4 linked regions of the Sus scrofa genome follow. The protein of the gene in region 2 purifies or fractionates together with the protein of the main gene of each other region. This does not show direct contact. Links are inferred from orthologs where the notes say so. Each region holds a gene or a part of one and is shown on either strand. Other genes may lie near its edges. The genes, in order: DNM3, SNX9, SYNJ1 and DNM1.

What was found.
Region 1: the proteins of SNX9 (region 2) and DNM3 purify together in Homo sapiens (co-immunoprecipitation; 3 studies listed by BioGRID and IntAct, counting the BioPlex papers as one, with this or other methods). This does not show direct contact. The link is inferred for Sus scrofa from reciprocal best matches to the Homo sapiens genes SNX9 and DNM3.
Region 3: the proteins of SNX9 (region 2) and SYNJ1 purify together in Homo sapiens (co-immunoprecipitation; 3 studies listed by BioGRID and IntAct, counting the BioPlex papers as one, with this or other methods). This does not show direct contact. The link is inferred for Sus scrofa from reciprocal best matches to the Homo sapiens genes SNX9 and SYNJ1.
Region 4: the proteins of SNX9 (region 2) and DNM1 purify together in Homo sapiens (co-immunoprecipitation; 6 studies listed by BioGRID and IntAct, counting the BioPlex papers as one, with this or other methods). This does not show direct contact. The link is inferred for Sus scrofa from reciprocal best matches to the Homo sapiens genes SNX9 and DNM1.

What each region holds. Positions count from the first base shown.
Region 1 is NC_010451.4:114,429,959-114,434,439, forward strand, and holds part of DNM3 (dynamin-3), read left to right. Parts: intron 1-2,214; coding exon 2,215-2,350; intron 2,351-4,481. UniProt on the Homo sapiens protein: Microtubule-associated force-producing protein involved in producing microtubule bundles and able to bind and hydrolyze GTP. Most probably involved in vesicular trafficking processes, in particular endocytosis.
Region 2 is NC_010443.5:9,165,751-9,170,231, reverse strand, and holds part of SNX9 (sorting nexin-9), read left to right. Parts: intron 1-633; coding exon 634-799; intron 800-2,610; coding exon 2,611-2,761; intron 2,762-4,481. UniProt on the Homo sapiens protein: Involved in endocytosis and intracellular vesicle trafficking, both during interphase and at the end of mitosis. Required for efficient progress through mitosis and cytokinesis. Required for normal formation of the cleavage furrow at the end of mitosis.
Region 3 is NC_010455.5:196,232,762-196,237,197, reverse strand, and holds part of SYNJ1 (synaptojanin-1), read left to right. Parts: intron 1-1,112; coding exon of another isoform or gene 1,113-1,133; exon of another isoform or gene 1,134-1,136; intron 1,137-4,000; coding exon 4,001-4,436. UniProt on the Homo sapiens protein: Phosphatase that acts on various phosphoinositides, including phosphatidylinositol 4-phosphate, phosphatidylinositol (4,5)-bisphosphate and phosphatidylinositol (3,4,5)-trisphosphate. Has a role in clathrin-mediated endocytosis.
Region 4 is NC_010443.5:268,651,308-268,656,402, forward strand, and holds the start of DNM1 (dynamin-1), read left to right. Parts: upstream 1-1,760; 5' UTR 1,761-1,866; coding exon 1,867-2,027; intron 2,028-2,583; exon of another isoform or gene 2,584-5,095. UniProt on the Homo sapiens protein: Catalyzes the hydrolysis of GTP and utilizes this energy to mediate vesicle scission and participates in many forms of endocytosis, such as clathrin-mediated endocytosis or synaptic vesicle endocytosis as well as rapid endocytosis (RE).

The sequences.
Region 1 (4,481 bases), on a different chromosome or scaffold from region 2:
TTTTTTTTTTGTCTTTTTGCTATTTCTTGGGCCGCTCCCGTGGCATATGGAGGTTCCCAGGCTAGGGGTCTAATCGGAGCTGTATTCTCCGGCCTACGCCAGAGCCACAGCAACGGGGGATCCGAGCCGCGTCTGCAACCTACACCACAGCTCACGGCAACGCCGGATCGTTAACCCACTGAGCAAGGGCAGGGACCGAACCCACAACCTCATGGTTCCTAGTCGGATTCGTTAACCACTGCGCCACGACGGGAACTCCTTGCCTGCTCTTATCTCTGTGCATTACACTTGATGTCTGGCCCTGTGCTATCCACTGGGGCTTCAGCAAGGGATAAGATTTTTGCCTTCAAGAAGACGTCATAGTATAGCAAGAGAAACAGACATATAAGTAACTTTGTTAAAATCTGATAAATGCTACATTTCTGGTAATTATAAAATATTAAGGAATCCCAGATGAAGAGCAGTTACATGGGAGTAAGAGTACGAATTCAGAGAGATCCTGAAATATGGGAGGAGTTTGTTAGGTGGCAAAAGGAGGTTAAGAGAATAGTGTGAACCTCTGAGCAGCTTGTTCTAGTCGACCAGGTGGCTGGGATATAGGATATGCAGAAAGCAGTGACTAGAGGTAAATTTTCAAAAGTTTCCCAGTGTTCCTTACCTTTCCAGGTGTTTCAAATTAGATTAACATTAGCATATACATGAATATAGCTATATCCAATTATGGTCTAGCTTTTCCGACCTAAATATTTGCAGTTACCTTTTTTTCTTTTTTTTTCTTTTTTTTTAAAAAGGGCTGCACCTACTGCATATGGAGGTTCCCAGGCTAGGGATCTAATTGGAGCTGTAGCTGCTGGCTTACTCCAGAGCTACAGCAACGCCAGATCCGAGCCATGTCTGTGACCTACACCACAGCTCATGGCAACGCCAGATCCTTAACCACTGAGCAAGGCCAGGGATCGAACCTACAACCTCATGGTTCCTAGTCAGATTCATTTCCACTGCGCCACGACAGGGAGTCCCTAGTTGCAGTTACTTTTAATTCATCCATGATTTTGATGAAAGAGCATAAAAGATGCAAACTTTAGATGGTTTGAATTGTGTTATTAGGTTTTGAATTTGAAAGTAGTGCCAGTATGTCAAAATTAGAGTTTCTAAAGCTAGTAATCACAAATACAAGTAGTCAGTTTTCCCCTATAATATATGTTTTTTGTATCAACCACCCTGAGGTAATTTATTTCTTCATTGATCTTATTGAATACCTCTTCTATGCTGAGACAGGGGAAGTAAATAAAATGCATGGTCCTTGCCCTTAGAAGAGGGACTGATAAATGAACAATGGTGATATACTCTGCTAAGTGCTTTGTTGAAAGTATACTGAGGAAGCTGAGGAGGGAGCCCTTCATCCGGGTGGCAAAGAGTGGTGAAGGTGGGTAGGACCATGGGTCATGGGATGTTTCCTGGGAAAACTAATGCTCGAGCTGAGTCTTGACGGACAGATGAAAGTTAGCCAGACAAAGAAGCACAAGGCAGAGCAGAAAGGAAAACAAGTGTAAAAGTGTAGAGACTTGGTGCATGTGGGGAACTGTGATACAGCTTGGAAGCTGAGTGGGGATGAGTGGTAAGAAACAGGGCAAACAGGGCCAGACCATGGAGAGTCTTAGGTGATGGGGTCAGGAGATTTAATTTTACTAAACTCTGAGGAGTCATTGAAAAACAAGGCTGGTGCTAGTTGTAAAGGTGCATGGGTGGAGGCCACAAATTTGCATTGTTTAGCACAGTGAGGTCTCTGATGCTGGGGCCCAGAAAGAGAATAGCTCATGAAGTGAGACAGTGGGAGACTAAGTGATTGTGATGCCACAAGAGTCATGGCTCATTTGACTATTATACATCAAGTTGTATTGCTTAACTTTCATTCTTAATTTAGGTGTTTTTAAATACCATTTCATGTTTGCAACTAAATGGACAGAATGCATTTAATGACACAGATGTTTCAAATATATATCTTTTAAATTAAATGTCTAAAATAAATCTTAATAACGTGTACTTCATATTGTTACATTTTGCATGCTGAATAGAGTGCAATGTTAATTCTGCCAGTAGGTGCCACTAAGAACCCCAGGAAAAGAATTTTGAGGGATAACCGTAGCAAATTAAAATGAAAAACATGAAGCCTTGTAACCTTAACTTAAATTTATTTCTCTTTCACAATTATAGGATGGTTCAGCAATTTGCTGTGGACTTTGAGAAGAGAATTGAAGGGTCAGGGGATCAAGTAGATACACTGGAGCTCTCAGGGGGTGCTAAAATCAATCGTATTTTCCATGAACGCTTTCCTTTTGAGATAGTAAAGGTTAGTACCATATATTGTTCTTTTTCCCTTTGTCTCATTTCATTTCTATGTAACTGTTCATAAAATGTTATGTGAGTGGTATGGGACTAAGGTGATTCTTTAAATGAAAGCCTCCACACTTAACTAATGAAATTTAGAGAGCAATATTTTCTTACTGATTTTATTTAATGGAATTGAATGACATTTGAAATAATTCAACAACTGCTAATTGGTTCCTATGATGTTTATTTATTGTCTAATTAATTTCAAAATATTTCTTGAGCACCTACTGTGTACCAGTGAGCTAGGTGCTGGGGATCAAGACAGAGACACCGTCTGGTGGGAGAAGGCAGAAAATTAACAAATAGGCAAAGTAGGAATATATCAAGTATATTATTATGTAGCATAGTGTGAGAGAAATGGGAGATGGATAGCCACTTTGGGTGGAATGTTCGGGCAAGGTCTCTCTGACTGCGGGATCTTTAAAGCATGACCAGAATGACATGAAGAGGTCAGCCGTAAGGATCTGGAGGAAGAAGGTTGTCCAAGGCCAGAAGTCAAAGACAAGGCCCTAAGGCAAGCACCCATAGAGCAGGTGAGGAACCCTTGAGGCTGGTGCAGAGCTGGTGAAGGAGAAGGTAGAGAAAACGAATTCAGAGGAAGAATGTGCCCAGTTTAGGCAGGGCTTTCTAGGTTGCTGTGAGGTGTTTACATTTAACAATGGGAAGTCAGAGGAGAGTTTTAAGCAAAGGTGTGACCTGATTTGGTTGGTGATTTAAAAAGAACACTATGTGGATTGGATTGTAAAGGGACAAGGGTGGATTCAGGAAGACAAGTAAGGTGAGTTAAACAGCAGGGGCAGAGCCGAGGTGGATCCCTTTCTGTGGGGCCTGAAACCTGTATAATTTGGGGGGCTCCCTTGAAGAAGAAGAAGAATACAAAATTATGAACACACAGGCACAGGTCTTGGAAGGAACTTATGCAAGGAAGAAGCCCTAAAACTTATAAACTTCTTTAGCTTTATAGTAAAAATGCCTCAGAAGAGAGGCTTGAGAGGAGAGGTGCATTTGTGATTTTGATGGTAATGGCAGTAGGAGTTGGTTTGATATGGGAGATGCAAGAAAGAGACGAGTCAAGATGACTCCCAAGATTTTGTCTTGCAAACTGAGAGTTAGTGCCCAGAAGAGGAGGGGAACTGAGGAAAAGCTCAGTGTTAAGTTATGAATCAAGGGTTCTGTTTTGGGTATGTTAAGTTTGAAAGGCCCAATAGGCAGCTGCATAGTTTTAGGGACCATGTTACTTGCCTCACATACGGAGGTGGGTGCTTATGTCTTGGTGTAGGAGGCTGATGGGTAAATAGACAGTTTCATTAAAATGTGCTGATATATAAAGTGATAAACTTCAGTACAGGGTGCTATGGAAACACAGCCCGTGAACATGAATCCCAGCCCAACAGTGTAAGAGAGCCTGGCTCCTGAGCTCAGTTAAGAAGGATGAACAGCTGGTTAAGCAGGAAAGGTGGGTTGGGGTTGGGGGGAAGATTGTTCCAGACAGAAATGGAGGAATAGTAAAGGCTGAGAGGTGGAGGCACAGGATGTGGATAGGGAACTAAAGTGATTCCTAAAGTGTGAGGGGGACAATGGACATGCAGAGGCTGGAGAGGCCAAATCTCAGAAGTCAGCGACTGAACCAAATTTTCTCTTGATATCCCTTCTAGTTCTAAGCTCAGTGGCACTTTGATCCTACTTCCAAATAAATTTAAGTTACCTAGGACTTCTGGGAAACTTTTATACAGTAATCTATCCTGTATTGGATTGGCAAAATATTATTAATTTCCTCTTATAAAGAGGCTTTGCATTCAGATGGTTAAAATGTCCAGGGAGAAAAGATAACCATTGTTTTTTTTTTTGTCCTTTTAGGGCCGCACCCACGGCATATGGAGGTTCCCAGGCCAGGGGTCCAATCGGAGCTACAGCTGCCAGCCTACGCCACAGCCACAGCAACGCCAGATCTGAACCATGTCTGTGACCTACACCACAGCTGACAGCAACACCGGATCCTTAACCCACTGGACGAGGCCAGGGATCAAACCCTCAACCTCAGGGTTCCTAATCGGATTCATTTCTGCTGTGCCATGACGGGAACTCTGAGA
Region 2 (4,481 bases):
TAGAAAACAGTTGGTATTTATGTGTTACGTATTCCATTACATACTCAGGGAAGTGTAAGAACCTGCCGGGTTCAGAAAAGTAGTTATTCGAGGGAAGAAAAAAAAGGGAGTTTCTTTGTGACTGGTTTTAAAGTTCCCAGGCAAACATGACACTTTTTTTTTTCTTTTCTGCCTTTTTGCCTTTTCTTTTGAGGGCTGCTCCCACGGCATATGGAGGTTCCCAGGCTAGGGGTCGAATCAGAGCTGTAGCCACCGGTCTTCACCACAGCCATAGCAATGCAGGATCTGAGCCGAGTCTGCAACCTACACCACAGCTGACGGCAACGCCGGATCCTTAACCCGCTGAGCGAGGCCAGGGATCAAACCTGCAACCTCATGGTTTTAGTCGGATTCATTAACCACTGAGCCACGATGAGAACTCCACTTGACACATTTTTAACATCACTAAAATTCGGTTGATGGCTACTTTTTTGCTTTCCTACTTTTGAAAATGTATTATTTAAATTTTAAACTGTTATAGATTTCTATCTATTTTTTCAGCATCCCTGTTCAATTATTATGTGAGTCCTACTGAATTGAGTAATGCTTTCTAGAAGTCACAAACCCTTTCTTCTTTTTTACCCTTGACCACAGGTCAGCAGTGGCAATGACCCCTGGTCAGCCTGGAATCCCTCCAAGTCTGGAAACTGGGATAACACGGATGGCTGGGGAGCCAAGCCAGAGGGGGCTGCAGCTCAGAGAAACACTTCCAACAACTGGGACGCTGCCTTCGGTCATCCCCAGGCCTACCAAGGCCCAGGTGAGGAGGAGGCTCTGCCGTCGGTGGACAGGTTTCATCTCAGGAACCGTTCTCAGCGGCCCGCATTCACTAACAGCAGACTTGTTTGTCTGGATCCAGATGTAGGCATTCTTTTCTTTTTTGCCTTTTGGCCTTTTTTTCTTTTTTGCTTTTTAGGGCCACACCTGTAGCATATGGAAGTTCCCAGGATAGGGGTCAAATTGGAGCTGCAGGCCTGCACCAAGCCTCAGCAAATCGGGATTCAGGCCACATCTGTAACCTCCACCACAGCTCATGGCAATGCTGGATCCTTAACCCCCTGAGCGAGGCCGGGGATCAGACCTGCATCCTCATGGATGCTGGTCAGGCTCTTAACCTGCTGAGCCACAATGGGAATTCCCAGTGGTCTTCAGTTATGAGCTTTAGTCCACTCTCAGTTATCTGTCATGGAGTCACAAATAGAAACGCTTGTGGGCCCAGGTTCATAAAGCAAAGCCACAGAGCCACCCCATGCGGAAGATGGAGGTGGGCAGCCCTGCTCTGGAGCGGATTGACACCATTGCAGAGCTGAGCTGGTGTTTCTGGGCCTCCACAGTTCCAGAGACTGGAATCTCAATTTTTATGTCATCTTCCCACTTTAAAATCTTAGCAGCTAACACACTTGTTTTTAAATCTTGGCTCCAAAAATGTGCACACAGATTGAATATGGTCATCAGCGGCCAGTTTATGACCTCTCACTTGGCTCTTCTGTCTTTTCTTTACCTCTCTGACTCCCAGGTTCTTAACAGAAATTGAGGCAAAAGCAGAATTTCTAAAAGGAGAAACACTTGAGGAATTAGGAAAGGCTGTTTATGTCTGTTCTGGGATTAAATAAAACAAGGAGAGATCCACCCAGTAATTTTAATGATTCCCATATGAGTACATTGTGCCAGGAATTGAATGTGCTGAATGGCGGGGGACTCGCCTGCAGGAGCCGTACGGGCCCAGGTGCTGGTTCCAAGCTCCCAGTCGTGGACAGGAGCTTGGCTGCTGGCCGGCCCAGGAGCTGTGGGTGGAGCAGAAACGGCGAGACTAGACTGCTGACACCTGCTCCTCGAGTAGCTTGGCGTGGCCCGGGCGTCTTGGCTCAGATCCTTCTAATACTTTCTTTCCCCTCCTTTTCTGTTTCGCCATTCGTCTCTCAGCTTCTCTCGATGGCACTCTTTGGGCAGAAATCCAGGGCAGTTTCCTGCCTGATGCTAAGGGGACATCTCAGGGAGACAGAGGCACGGAGCAGTGGAAGAGAAAGGGCGGGGGCAGCGAGGCTGGCAGCGCCTTGCCCGACACAGACTCTTCCCGGAATGCTGGGCCCCTGGCGCCAGCTGGCTGCTGCCCGTCCCTCTCCTCTCTCCCTCCTCCACCAGCTCGCCCTTCTCACCTGCGTTATCATCAGTGTTGAACAGCTGCTTTTCAGAGACCTAGGGTCCCCTTCGGCCCCTCCAGTCTTCTCTGTTTAAAGGGTGTTTGATCTGCCTGACCTATCAGCATGCCAGCCTTTGGAAGCCCTTCCCTGGCCCACTGAGCGTGTTAATAGTTGGCATCTACCTGAAGGTACTGGGACTGGCAACCCACTTTAAGTTGTTTCCAGCTTGTCTTTTGCTCTAAAAAAATCTTCCAGCCTCAAAACTGACCGCAGAGCGTGTACTTGTCAGGTCTTTAGTGTGGTCCTGCCCCCGCCCCTTTTCTCCGAGTTTTCGTACACGGTTAACCCGGTTGACGGTTGTTATCAGAAAAGTGTCATCCCGTTTTTATCTTGTTTTCCTTTGCTGACGATCTTCTTTGCCTCCCGCCAGCCACTGGGGACGATGACGACTGGGACGAAGACTGGGATGAGCCCAAGTCGTCGTCTCCCTACTTCAAGGACGGAGAGTCGGCCGAAGCCGGAGGAGCCCAGCGGGGAAACAGCCGGGCGGGCTCCTCCTCCATGAAGCTGCCGCTTAACAAGTAGGTTTCAGGGCACTGGGGGAACATGAACTCTCTGTAGAAACAGATATAAGATGGGGTTCCTGTCGTGGCGCAGTGGAAACAAATCTGACTAGGAACCATGAGGTTGCGGGTTTGATCCCTGGTCTTGCTCAGCGGGTTAAGGATCCGGCGTTGCCGTGAGCTGTGGTGTAGGTCAGAGACGCGGCTCGGATCCTGAGTTGCTGTGGCTGTGGCGTAGGTCGGCGGCTATGGCTCCAAATCGACCCCTAGGCTGGGAACCTCCATATGCTTCAGGTGCGGCCCTGAAAAAACAAAAAGACCGAAAAAAAAAAAGAAAGAAAGAGACAGATGTAAGATGCAACAAGGAGATCCCATTGTGGCTCAGCAGGCTAAGAACCTGACATCGTGTCCGTGAGGATGCAGGTTTGATCCCTGGCCTCACACAGTGGGTTAAGGGTCCAGTGTTGCCACAAGCTGTGGTGTAGGTCATAGATGTGACTTAGATCTGACGTTGCTGTGGCTGTGGCATAGGCTGCATCTGCAGCTCTAATTCAACCCCTGGCCCAGGAACTTCCATATGCCGCAGGTACAGCCATAAAAAGAAAAGAAAAAAATAAGATGATGATATGAAGAGGCACTTTTCTCTTGTCAGTGGTCTACCAAGTTTTGGGTGTGATTTGATCATGTTTATGTGGCTCTTTGCTTGGAGGTTTGTTTGAAAGTTTTGGGTTTTTTTTTTTCATCTTAAAGTGAAATATTTGTTCCATGTAATGATATGCTGAATATTGGTTTTATCAACTCATTGCTGATGTACAGCAAAGCTAAACATAATGTTAACTTTCTTACAAATGTTTCACTATTCATTGGTCTTGTGCCCCGTGCCAGGCTTTGTGCAAAGCAGTTTGTGCACATTCTCATGCGACCCTCTGTTTCACTCTGGGAGCAGCCGAAGCCCAGAGAGGGAAGTCACTGCCCAGGTTCACACGGGTAGAAGTGATTTCCTCGGGACTCAGGCCAGCCCCTGACCTCCTGAGCGCACACTCACAGCTGCTCTGCCTCATGTGCCTCAGACTTTGTTTTCACTGGGCTTATCCTTAGGTTTGTCCTGTTTTGAGTGGTGCCGTAGAGACGCTGCCTCGCGGAAAGCGTGCGGAAGAGGAGGGCTGTGGACACAGCCCTGTGGGTTCCCCGGTAGAGAGTTCTGGATGAGTCTGTAGTTTACACCCAGTGGAGCTTGAAGGACATAGAGTCTATGACTTCCAGACGATTTATCTTCAAATACTCTTCTTACATTTAAAAAGTTTTCTGGAATTCCCGTCGTGGCGCAGTGGTTAACGAATCCGACTAGGAACCATGAGGTCTCGGGTTCCGTCCCTGCCCTTGCTCAGTGGGTTAATGATCCGGCATTGCCGTGAGCTGTGGTGTAGGTTGCAGACGCGGCTCGGATCCCGAGTTGCTGTGGCTCTGGCGTAGGCCAGTGGCTACAGCTCCGATTCAACCCCTAGCCTGGGAACCTCCATATACCGCGGAAGCGGCCCAAGAGATAGCAACAACAACAACAACAACAACGACAAAAGACAAAAAGACAAAAGACAAAAAAAAAAAAAAAAAAAAAAAGACAAAGATAAAAAGTTTTCTAGCTGTGAGCTGTGGTGCAGGTCGCAGACGCGGCTCAGATCCCACGTTGCTGTGGCTCTGGTGTAGGCCGGCAGCTGCAGCTCCGATTTGACCCCTAGCC
Region 3 (4,436 bases), on a different chromosome or scaffold from region 2:
AACTCTTAACGATACTTAATGTATCTTAGAACGGTGTCTCTCTTCAGTTGTCAAAGTCAGTTTCGGTATTTTTAAATAAGGTAAGCTTTAAATATTAGGGAAGATGTGCTCAAACTGTTTCTTGAGACTACTGTAACTTTTAAAAGCACTGTTACAGAAAGATTATGATTTCATTTTTAAACAACGAAAAAAGGATCCAGTTTTTTGCTTTGTTTTACCTTCCAACTAATAAAGTGAATTAATGATAGTATCACCCTTCAAAAAATTTGAGTAATGTAGACTAAGCCCGGATCCTGAACATTTGTTAAAAAAACTAATTTTCACCTTTTTGCAAAGTGATGCTATTTTCTTTAATGATGATAAAGCCATAGGCTACCTTAAGGCCATGTCCTACTCTTCTTGGGCCTTCAGAACAAAATACCATAAACTGAGTGGCTCAAACAGTAGAAATTTGTTCTCTCATAGCTCTGGAGGCTGGACGTCCAAGATCAGGATGCCAAGGTAGTTGGGTTCTGGTGACAGCTCTTTTCCTGGCTTGCAGACAGCTGCCCTTCTGCTGCGTGTTCACATGGCCTGTCCTTGGTGCTTGCACGAGAAGAAAAAGAGCAAGAGAGCAAGCCGCTGGCCTGTCTCCTCCTGAGGCTGCTAATCCCATCATGAGGGCCTCACCTCATCTAACCCCAGTTACCTCCCAAAGGCCACATCTCCAAATGCCATCACATTGGGGGTTAGGGCTTCAACACAGCAGTTCTGGGGGGACACAAACATTTCATCCAAAACAGTCTGCTTAAAATAGTTTAGAGCGCCAAAAACCTATTTAGCATATTGTTTTGGGGACGACCGCTTTGAACCAGTTAGTAATCAGCCTCAGAGAAAACTAAAGTTTGAGCTCTAATTTACCCATGTATTGTTCATTGGAAATGACAGAAGAAGTTGGAATTATCTCTTGATCTTATGCTGTGACCCGTAAATACCACTGCTTTTGGATTTTGTGTGTAATGTAGAACTAAATGTAATATAATATATTGAAGATTGAATTGTTAGGGTTGCCGGTTGGTCTCAGATTATCCTCCTAACTCTTTCCTTTGATGTCTGTGTTCCCTTTCTCAAAGCAGGAGCAACCATCAGGGTAACAGGTATTGGATAATTTCTCAATCTTGTATGTGCTTCTCATCTGTCTTAGCACATTAGATGTATGAATCTTTTGCTTCATACATCTAAAGTTTCACTCATTTTAAAACCACGTGTCCACATTAATAAATTCTGTTATCATACCATAGTAGAGACTGCTGTTTTTCTTAGTACTTTGAATTTTTAGGAACCGTTTTAGTTGTTCTTGCTAATGCTTTCCCTTTTTTTTTTTTTTTTTTGGCTTTGTTTCTTACAAAAATTAACAAAACTAAAAAATGTCACTTCAAGAAGGTAAGCTTTAGGCATACAAAAGTCTGGCGAAATCAAATTGGTTCTTGTTTTTAACAATGGCACAATTAAATAAATACAGATTTAACTTTTATTCTTAGATGTCTTTGGGGAAATTTTAAAAAAATAATTTTAGTAGCAAGACTCTTTTTGCTAAGGCAGAATTGATGATTTACAAAGATACAAGTTAACATTGTAACAAGATTATAAGAGGCCTTCCAACACCCTTCTCTGTAAAAATACCATCGTCATTAATATCATCATCACAAATCCTGCTTTATGAGTTAGTTCTAATGTCATGAAGGATGGTGTGGCTCTCATTCTAATTTCAAGTCTGATTGGGCAAAATGATCTTGTTTCTAGCAAATTACCTTGAAATTATTTTGAAAGAAAAAAGTTTAGTATATGAAAATAAAGCTATTTCAATGTGTAACATTTATTTGGCAAGAGCCTACTCTTCTAAGCTGTGCGGAACATAAACTTCTCACCTATAATGTCTGTGTTGTGAACTCTTCTTTCTACCACGGGAAAACTGGGTCCCAGACCCAATCGAGTCCTTCGCTTTTGGTATGTGAATCATAAATAATCCAGACATTATTGGTAATATAGAGTTAATTACAATGTTATAATGTCCATTAACACATTTGTCTTAAGTACCTTTCCTCATATGGGTCTGCTTCCCTTCCGTACACTTAGAATGTAATTCAGAGTCTGTGACGTGTTTATTCTTCAATTTTGTACAAATTTATTGTTCATATTAAGTTTGAAGAAAAACATATTTGTTTCCTCAATTATGAAGTATGTTTTAGATCACTCTGAAAACAGATACCAGACAGAGGGCGATTCACTTAGGAGGTTATCTACACCAGTTCCTTTGGCAAATGAACAGCCTTCCCTATTCCTAAGCACCAAGTTACTGCTTCAAGATGCAATTGTATTTGTTTCATTGGGACTGCTGCTCTCTTTTCCAGCGTATCTCATGAATGTTTAGCTATTTGCTTTTTTTTTTTTTTTTTTTTTTTTTTTTTGACTGTGCCCATAACATAAGGAAGTTCCTGGGCTAGGGATCAAATGCAAGCAACAGCTGTGGCAACGCCAGATCCTTAACCCACTGTACCACAGTGGGAACTCCATTTAGTTATTTGCTTTAACAACTACCTAAGTGCATTTTGGATAGTGCTCCATTTTTTTACCTCGTAAGTCTTGAGCTAAAATTCTCCTTCCCCTGTCCTTATCCAAGGTTTATTTTCTTCCTCTTAATTTGGCAGAGGTATCCAAGTCACCCATCTACTTTTAATAATTATGCAGAGGTGTGTTTTTTTTTTAATTAAAATGAAGTACCTGATGAGCTAATTGTCTCATTGAGGTCAAGATCACAGTTCTGTTTCCCATAAGAACAGTTGGCTTTTCTCAGTCCCACAGCCGTGCTCCGCTTCAGCCGGCTTCCTTGTGAAAGAGGCACAGAGTGAAGTAATTTTGATCCCTCCTCTTACCAGTAACAGTTCACAGCCAACTCTGTCACATGGAAAGAACTGGGTACCCTCTGCGCACAGCTTCATGTTGGTTTAAGAATTGATAGACGAAATAGAAAATGGGATTCCCCCCCACACACCCTGCCCACACCACACACACACACACACACACACACCCAAGTTGTAAACAATCGCTGCATTTAGTGGTCAACAAATTCTGTTTGGGAGCATGTTTCGATGAGGGAAGGTCCATGGAGGAATATTGTCACATTATTCACAGAGGTGATTCTGTAAAGAAGAACTTTACATTAAAAGGCAAAGAATGCTTTGAAAATTTATTTTTCCAAGTAGAAAAGGAAAAGATGCATGGTCTTCAGCTTATGAATGCAATTATGGTAACAAAACTAACTTTCATCCATAAAGTTGAATTTCCAAAGTCATAGTAACTCTAAATGAAAATATATTTAAATGAACAGAGATGCCACATCATCATCATAGATGGGTGTTGGAAGTTAATTTCTAGAGATTCAGCGTAAGTTCTGAATATGGGTTTCTTTTTTTTTTTTTTTGGCCATGCCTCAGCATGTGGAGTTCCCAGGCCAGGGGTCAGATCCGAGCTGCAGTTGCAACCTCCACCGCAGCTGCAGCAACACTGGGTCCTTAACGCACTGTGCCAGGCTGGGCACTGAACCTGCATCCCAGTGCTCCTAAGACGCCACTGATCCTGTTGAGCCACAGCAGGAGCTCCTGGGTATTGGGTGTCTTCAGTTCGTGTGAACGTCTGATAGAACGGGGCTGAGCAAAACCCATTTGCTAACTCTGTACAGTTCTCCACGCCACCATATCCATACTTGCATGGATGAAATAAGCTCTACTCATTACAAGGACTTACTGAGCCGGGTGTTTTTTAAAAATACAATTTCAGCTGTTGTATCTTACTTAAACCACCAGAGTAACAGACTCAATATACAAAGCTTTTTTTTTTTTTCTAAATTTGTATGCGTGCCCCCCTCCATGAAAAGTAATTGAGACAGGAAGCATAGGGGGTATTCAAAGTAAATAGAATACTTTTTGGTTTTTTTCTGATTATTCAGTGCTCTCTTTTCCAGGTAAAAACAAACGGAGTCTCCGCCGTCAGACTGGACTCGCCATTAAAGAGTGACCCGTTTGAAGACCTGTCGTTGAATCTGCTTACTGTATTAAAGGATCAGTTCCCTGTTCAAACCCCAGACCCAGAGGGGTTGATTCCGTTGCCTTGCGCAACCCCAGGCAACACGAATACTTTGAGTTCTGCAAGCTGCATGCCGACAATGCCTCCAATTCCAGCCCGGAGTAAATCCCAGGAAAACACACGCTGTTCGCCAAACCCATTCGTCACGAGCTCGAGCGGCACAAACCCTTTCACCGACAGGACTGCCGCTCCCGGAAACCCCTTTAGAGCTGGGTCTCAAGAATCAGAGGCAACTTCATGGTTCTCCCAAGAACAGCCTGTTGCTCAGAGTCCTTTCCCTTCTCTGAAGCCTCTTGGTGAGATCAAGCCTGCAT
Region 4 (5,095 bases), about 260 Mb from region 2:
TCCTCTGCCTGCCTGGGAAATGGGGTACCCCTCGCTTCCATCAGGTGTCTGCTCACATTTTGGGGGGCCGGGGTGGGGACCGCACCTTCTGTATATGGAAGTTCCTGGGCGAGGGTCGAATCCAAGCTGGCACTGCCGGCCTATTCCACAGCCACAGCCATGCAGGATGTCAGTTACATCTGCAACCTAACGCCGGATCCTTAACCCACTGAGTGAGGTCAGGGATCGAACCCACATCCTCATGGATACTAGTCAGGTTATTAACCCCCTGAGCCACAAGGGGAACTCCCTCTGCTCACGTTTTTACCAGAGTCCTCCCCCAATCACCCTATCAAAATAGCAACATTGCCCTCGCCTCCAACCTTCCCTAGCTTTTTTGTTTTCCAAAGCTCCCATCTCTATCTGACAATTCTATTTATTGGCTTGTTTGTGCCTTGTCCTCTTTTTTCCACTAGACTGTTAGCCAGATGTGGGTAAGGATTTTGTTCATTGTGCTCATTGCTTTATCTCTGGAGTCTAGCAGAGCCCCTGGTCAATAAATATGCCTCACACGGGTGCATGAGTGACCGTCTCTGCCTCACAGGCCACTGATCTGCCAGCGCTGCGGCCACTCTGTTCACACACAGGGTGACCCACAACAGCACGGGACAGGCTGGCCTCTCTTTCCTAGCCTCCTAATGGGGAATCCAAATTAGGTTCCTTAAGGGCAGAGGTGGATGGCTAGGCCTGGGGCCCCATGGTCTCTCCATGCGACAAGGATACCAGGGGTAGGGCTGTGGGAGTCCTAGATTCAAATCCCACTGTTTTACCACCACCGTGATGGATGGGTTTGGAAAAGGCTGCCACTTTCCCAAATGAGAAGGCCCAACTCTCCCAAGAAGGGTCTTCCCAGCATCATGCACTTTGTACTTGTGGTTCACTTGGGCTGGCATGCTCCTCCCCCCTGATCTGCCTGCCTGTGGCTGGTTCCTTCTCATCATTTAGGTCTCCCCTCCATACCACCTTCTCAGGGAACCCCCCTAATCTCCCAGGCTAAAGAGGCCTCTTTGCACCCACACAGGTACCCCTCTTCACACCCCTTGTGTATTTCTTCCATCCCTATTAGTATAAGCTATTTTCACTTGCACTGTTTCATGTACCTATTTATTCATTTACTGTCTGTCCCCACCACCTGGAAGTTAAGATCTATGAGGGTGGAGACCTTGGTTGTCTTGCTCACTGCTGTGTCTCCAGTGCCTCGGACAGGGTCTGGCTTATAAGTAGGTGTTCCGTAAATTTTCATTGAATTCATGTTCTGTTATCTTCTCATTCTAGAAACAGGGAAACTGAGGCCCAAGGAGGGGAAGGGACAGGCCAGAGATGAATTAGTGTCAGGACGTACAGTAGAAGGCAGTGAGGCCAAGTGACACTCCAGGTCACTGAGACTGTGACCTCGCAGGAGGCCCATCTCTCCAAGCCTCAGTTTCCCCATCTGGAAGATGGAGTAAGGCAGCCATGACAACCATCCGTGGGGCCCGGTACGAAGACTGCCTAGTGCCTAGGACATTTTGCCCATTTACAGGAACGACATCTACTGCGAAGCCTTCGCCCCCCCCACCCCCGCCCAGACACGGCTCCAGCGCCCCAAAAGCCGCAGAAGGAGAAAACTACAATCCCCATGGTGCAGCGGCGGGCGCCTGCGCATGGCTGCCGGCCCGCAGCACTTTGGGCGCCCTCTAGCGGCACCCTGGCGCAGCGCTCCGCTCCGATCCCCGAGGGGCGGGGGACCCGCGGCGCAGGCAGTCGGAGCGCGCGGCTGCAGCGGCGGAGCCGAAGCCGAGAGCACCAGCGGCGGCCGCATCGCAGCCCGCGGGGCCCGCCGCAGCCATGGGCAACCGCGGCATGGAGGATCTCATCCCGCTGGTCAACCGGCTGCAGGATGCCTTCTCTGCCATCGGCCAGAATGCGGACCTCGACCTGCCGCAGATCGCCGTGGTGGGCGGCCAGAGCGCCGGGAAGAGCTCGGTGCTCGAGAATTTCGTAGGCAGGTAGGAGCGGCGCGCCCCTGAGCGCGGACTCCCCCAGCTCGGGTCCTCCCGGCCTTCGCCACCCGGCCCCGACGGCGCCGCGACCTCACAGCCCCAGGCTGGGCGCCGCGGATCGCGCGCCCCCCACCTCCAGCCCGAAGGAGGCGGCCCTCCCCTCCCCAAGAGCCCCTCAGGGGCGCAGCACCCCCTCCTTGTCCGCAAACGTCAAGCCGGCGACCACGGGATCACGCCCCCCTCCTCCGCCCCATCCTTTAGGGAAGACAGCGCTGTGCCAAGAGACCCTGGTAAAGGACTGTCCCCCACCCCCCACCCTCCATGGGCACTGAGGGGCCTGCATTACTCAGCACCTCCCTACGGCTCTGGCGGGGGGGGGTCCCTTAAAGCGGGCAGCGTCCCCAGGGCAGTTCCCCCACCCCCAGGCTCTACGGAGGACAGCTCCCTCCCTTCACGGGAATTCCTGGACCTTGGCAGGGGACACCCCCCCAATTGCCCCTGGGAGAAGACATAGCCCCCTGGGCATGTCACACAGCCTCCCCCCGCCGTCACACACACACACCTCTGCGGCCCCAGCCGCCATCCGTGCGCAGCGCGGAAGAAGGGGGAGGCGCGGGCTGCAGGATGGGTTGGGGGGGATCCTTTACTGAGCAGCCGGCCCCTTGCCCCGCCGCCGCCCCTGGGTGGGGTGGGGGGCGCCTGTCAGTGTTGTTCTCCCCTTGGCCTGGCAGAGGAATTGTAATGGAGGGAGAAGGCGGCGGAGGGCAGAGATGACTAAGACAGGGAGGCAGGATGGCGGGGAGGAGGGGGGGGGAGCCATTTGCACAACCTAATCCCCCTCCTGCCTCTGATCCCACAAGGCGCTGGGAGGGCCAGGTGGCAGGGAGTGGGGGGCAACCACAAAGACAAAGGACCCCGGGTTTAGGGAGGCAGGCAGGGTCGTGACCCCCCCAGGGTTCCCCAAGAAAGGGGAGGTGGAGATGGCTTTTCGGGTGCTGAGAAGGAGAGAGGGGGCGCTCTCCTGGTGCTGGAGGTGGGGGGTGCTGGGCAGACTGAGGGAGGAGGCAGGAGAATTGACACTGACCTCCCCCCTCTGTCATCTCCCTCTCTCACCTTCATCAGAAACCCTAGCTTTCTTCCAATGACCTTCATGGCTAAAGAAGCCAATGGCACATGGGAGAGGGAGGCAGGCAGAACTTCCCCCTCAGAGGGACGCAGTTCTGGGGCAAAACATCCTGGGTCCAAGCCAGGCTCTGCTGTGAAACCTCAGGCGAGTCACTACCCTCTCTGAGCCTCTGTTTCACCATCTCCAGTGCGGACAGCCAGGCTGGAGAGGTCCTGCCTCTTAAATGACCTGGGAAGCCCAGCACCAACCCCAGGGGCGAGAGGAGAGGGTCCTGCCTGGAGCCATGTATCTGTGAGCTGTTGGAAAGCCACTGTGGGGGTGGCCAGACCCATCTGGTCAGCAGAGAGGGGTGCCGTCTGTTTCCAGGGGACGGACTCCCACAGAACCCCCCCCTCCTGCTCATGTGACACCCCCCCTCCCCAGAGCTGCAGAGACACCAGCATGAGACACACAGATGGGCCCCTTTCCTAAGGGCCGGCAGTCAGAGTCCAGGGAGGGGGGGTGAACCCTGGAGACAATAAAGCCCTGAGGCCTTGGTGCTGTAAATGACACGGACACCCAGCACTTTACAGTGTGCAAACCACAGTCCTTCCTTCCATCCGCTGGACGGCTGCTGAACCCCTGCTCTGTGCCTGCTGCGTGCTCTGCGCAGGGGCTGCAGAGGGGAAGGTGACCCCAGCAGCCGTCTGCTGAGCCCTTCCCACAGGCCCCACACCATGCTCTATAGGCTGGGTCACACAGCCTCATGAGGCAGGTGCCCTGGTGGTCCTCCCGCAGGTGAGGAAACAGACCCTGAGGTTGGAGGCCTTGCCCAAGGTCACACAGCCAGGAAGGACAGCATCTATTAGACTCCCATGTCCAGCCCACCCAGTCTGAGCACCAAGCTTTGCACTGAGCTCGGGGACGTGCAGGTGTGGGGGCCCCATTTTCCGCATCTGGGGAATGGACACACTGACAGCTGCCGCCCTGCCTTCCTGATCTTGGCTGTGGGGCTCCAGGGAGCTCAAGGGTGGCAAAGCCCTCTTTTGTAAACATGTGGGAGGGAGCTGTGGATAGGTTTGGGGACACACCTGGACGGTGGCCTCTTGGAGCGCACTGTCCAGCAGAGAGGTGCCAGTGGGGAGACAGGCCCGGCCACCGTCTGCAACTGTTCGCTTGTCAGCTGGTGGAAAAGATGTGGACTCTGCTGGGGAGGCCGGGGCCCTCTTTCCACCCTCTGCCACCCAGTACCCGTTGATGGTGGGTGCACAGGGTCACCAGATGAGGCAGGCCCCTGGCAGAGCAGGAGGCTGGGCCTGGGGCTAAGGAGTGAATGGGGAGGTATGGCTTGATACTCGTGAAAGCCAGCAAGGAGGCCAGGGCTGGAGTGCAGATAAAATGTGAGCATTTTGCCAGGGCCCCAAGCTTCCCTTTGTCTGCCCCCCGCCGCGAGCCCCCTCCCCACAACATCTGTCCAGCCCCAAGTCCAGCATCCTGGAAGAGGCTTCCAGGCTCCTGTGCCCCTGGCCTCGCTCATTCTAGTGCCCAGGCCTGCTGGCAGTTGGGCAGTGCCCAGCTTCCCTCCAGCTTGACCCCTGGTGAAGCCAAGGCCAGTGGGAATGTGGCAGAGGGGCTGAGGGCTCGGGCTCTGGCATCAGACCTGGGTTTGTAGCTCAGCTCTGCCACTTACAAGCTGGGCACTATTGAGCATGGTTTTGAAGCCCTGCTCAGCCCTGCTTGCTCTGCCGTGGCTCTCAAGCTCCCGACCTAGGGCTGGGTCCCCAGACCCGTGAGCATGGTAACAGTGGCTCTGCCTCCCGAGGCTTTCCGGGAGTCAACCCCCCATGGAGAGGAAGTGGAAAATACTCCAGAGGAAACAGAGGCTGCTCCAGGCCGGGCTGGGCTCCCGGGCACCCAGGAGGAGCCTGCTGTCAGCTCTGCAATGGAGGTGGCCCAGATAGCTGCCCAG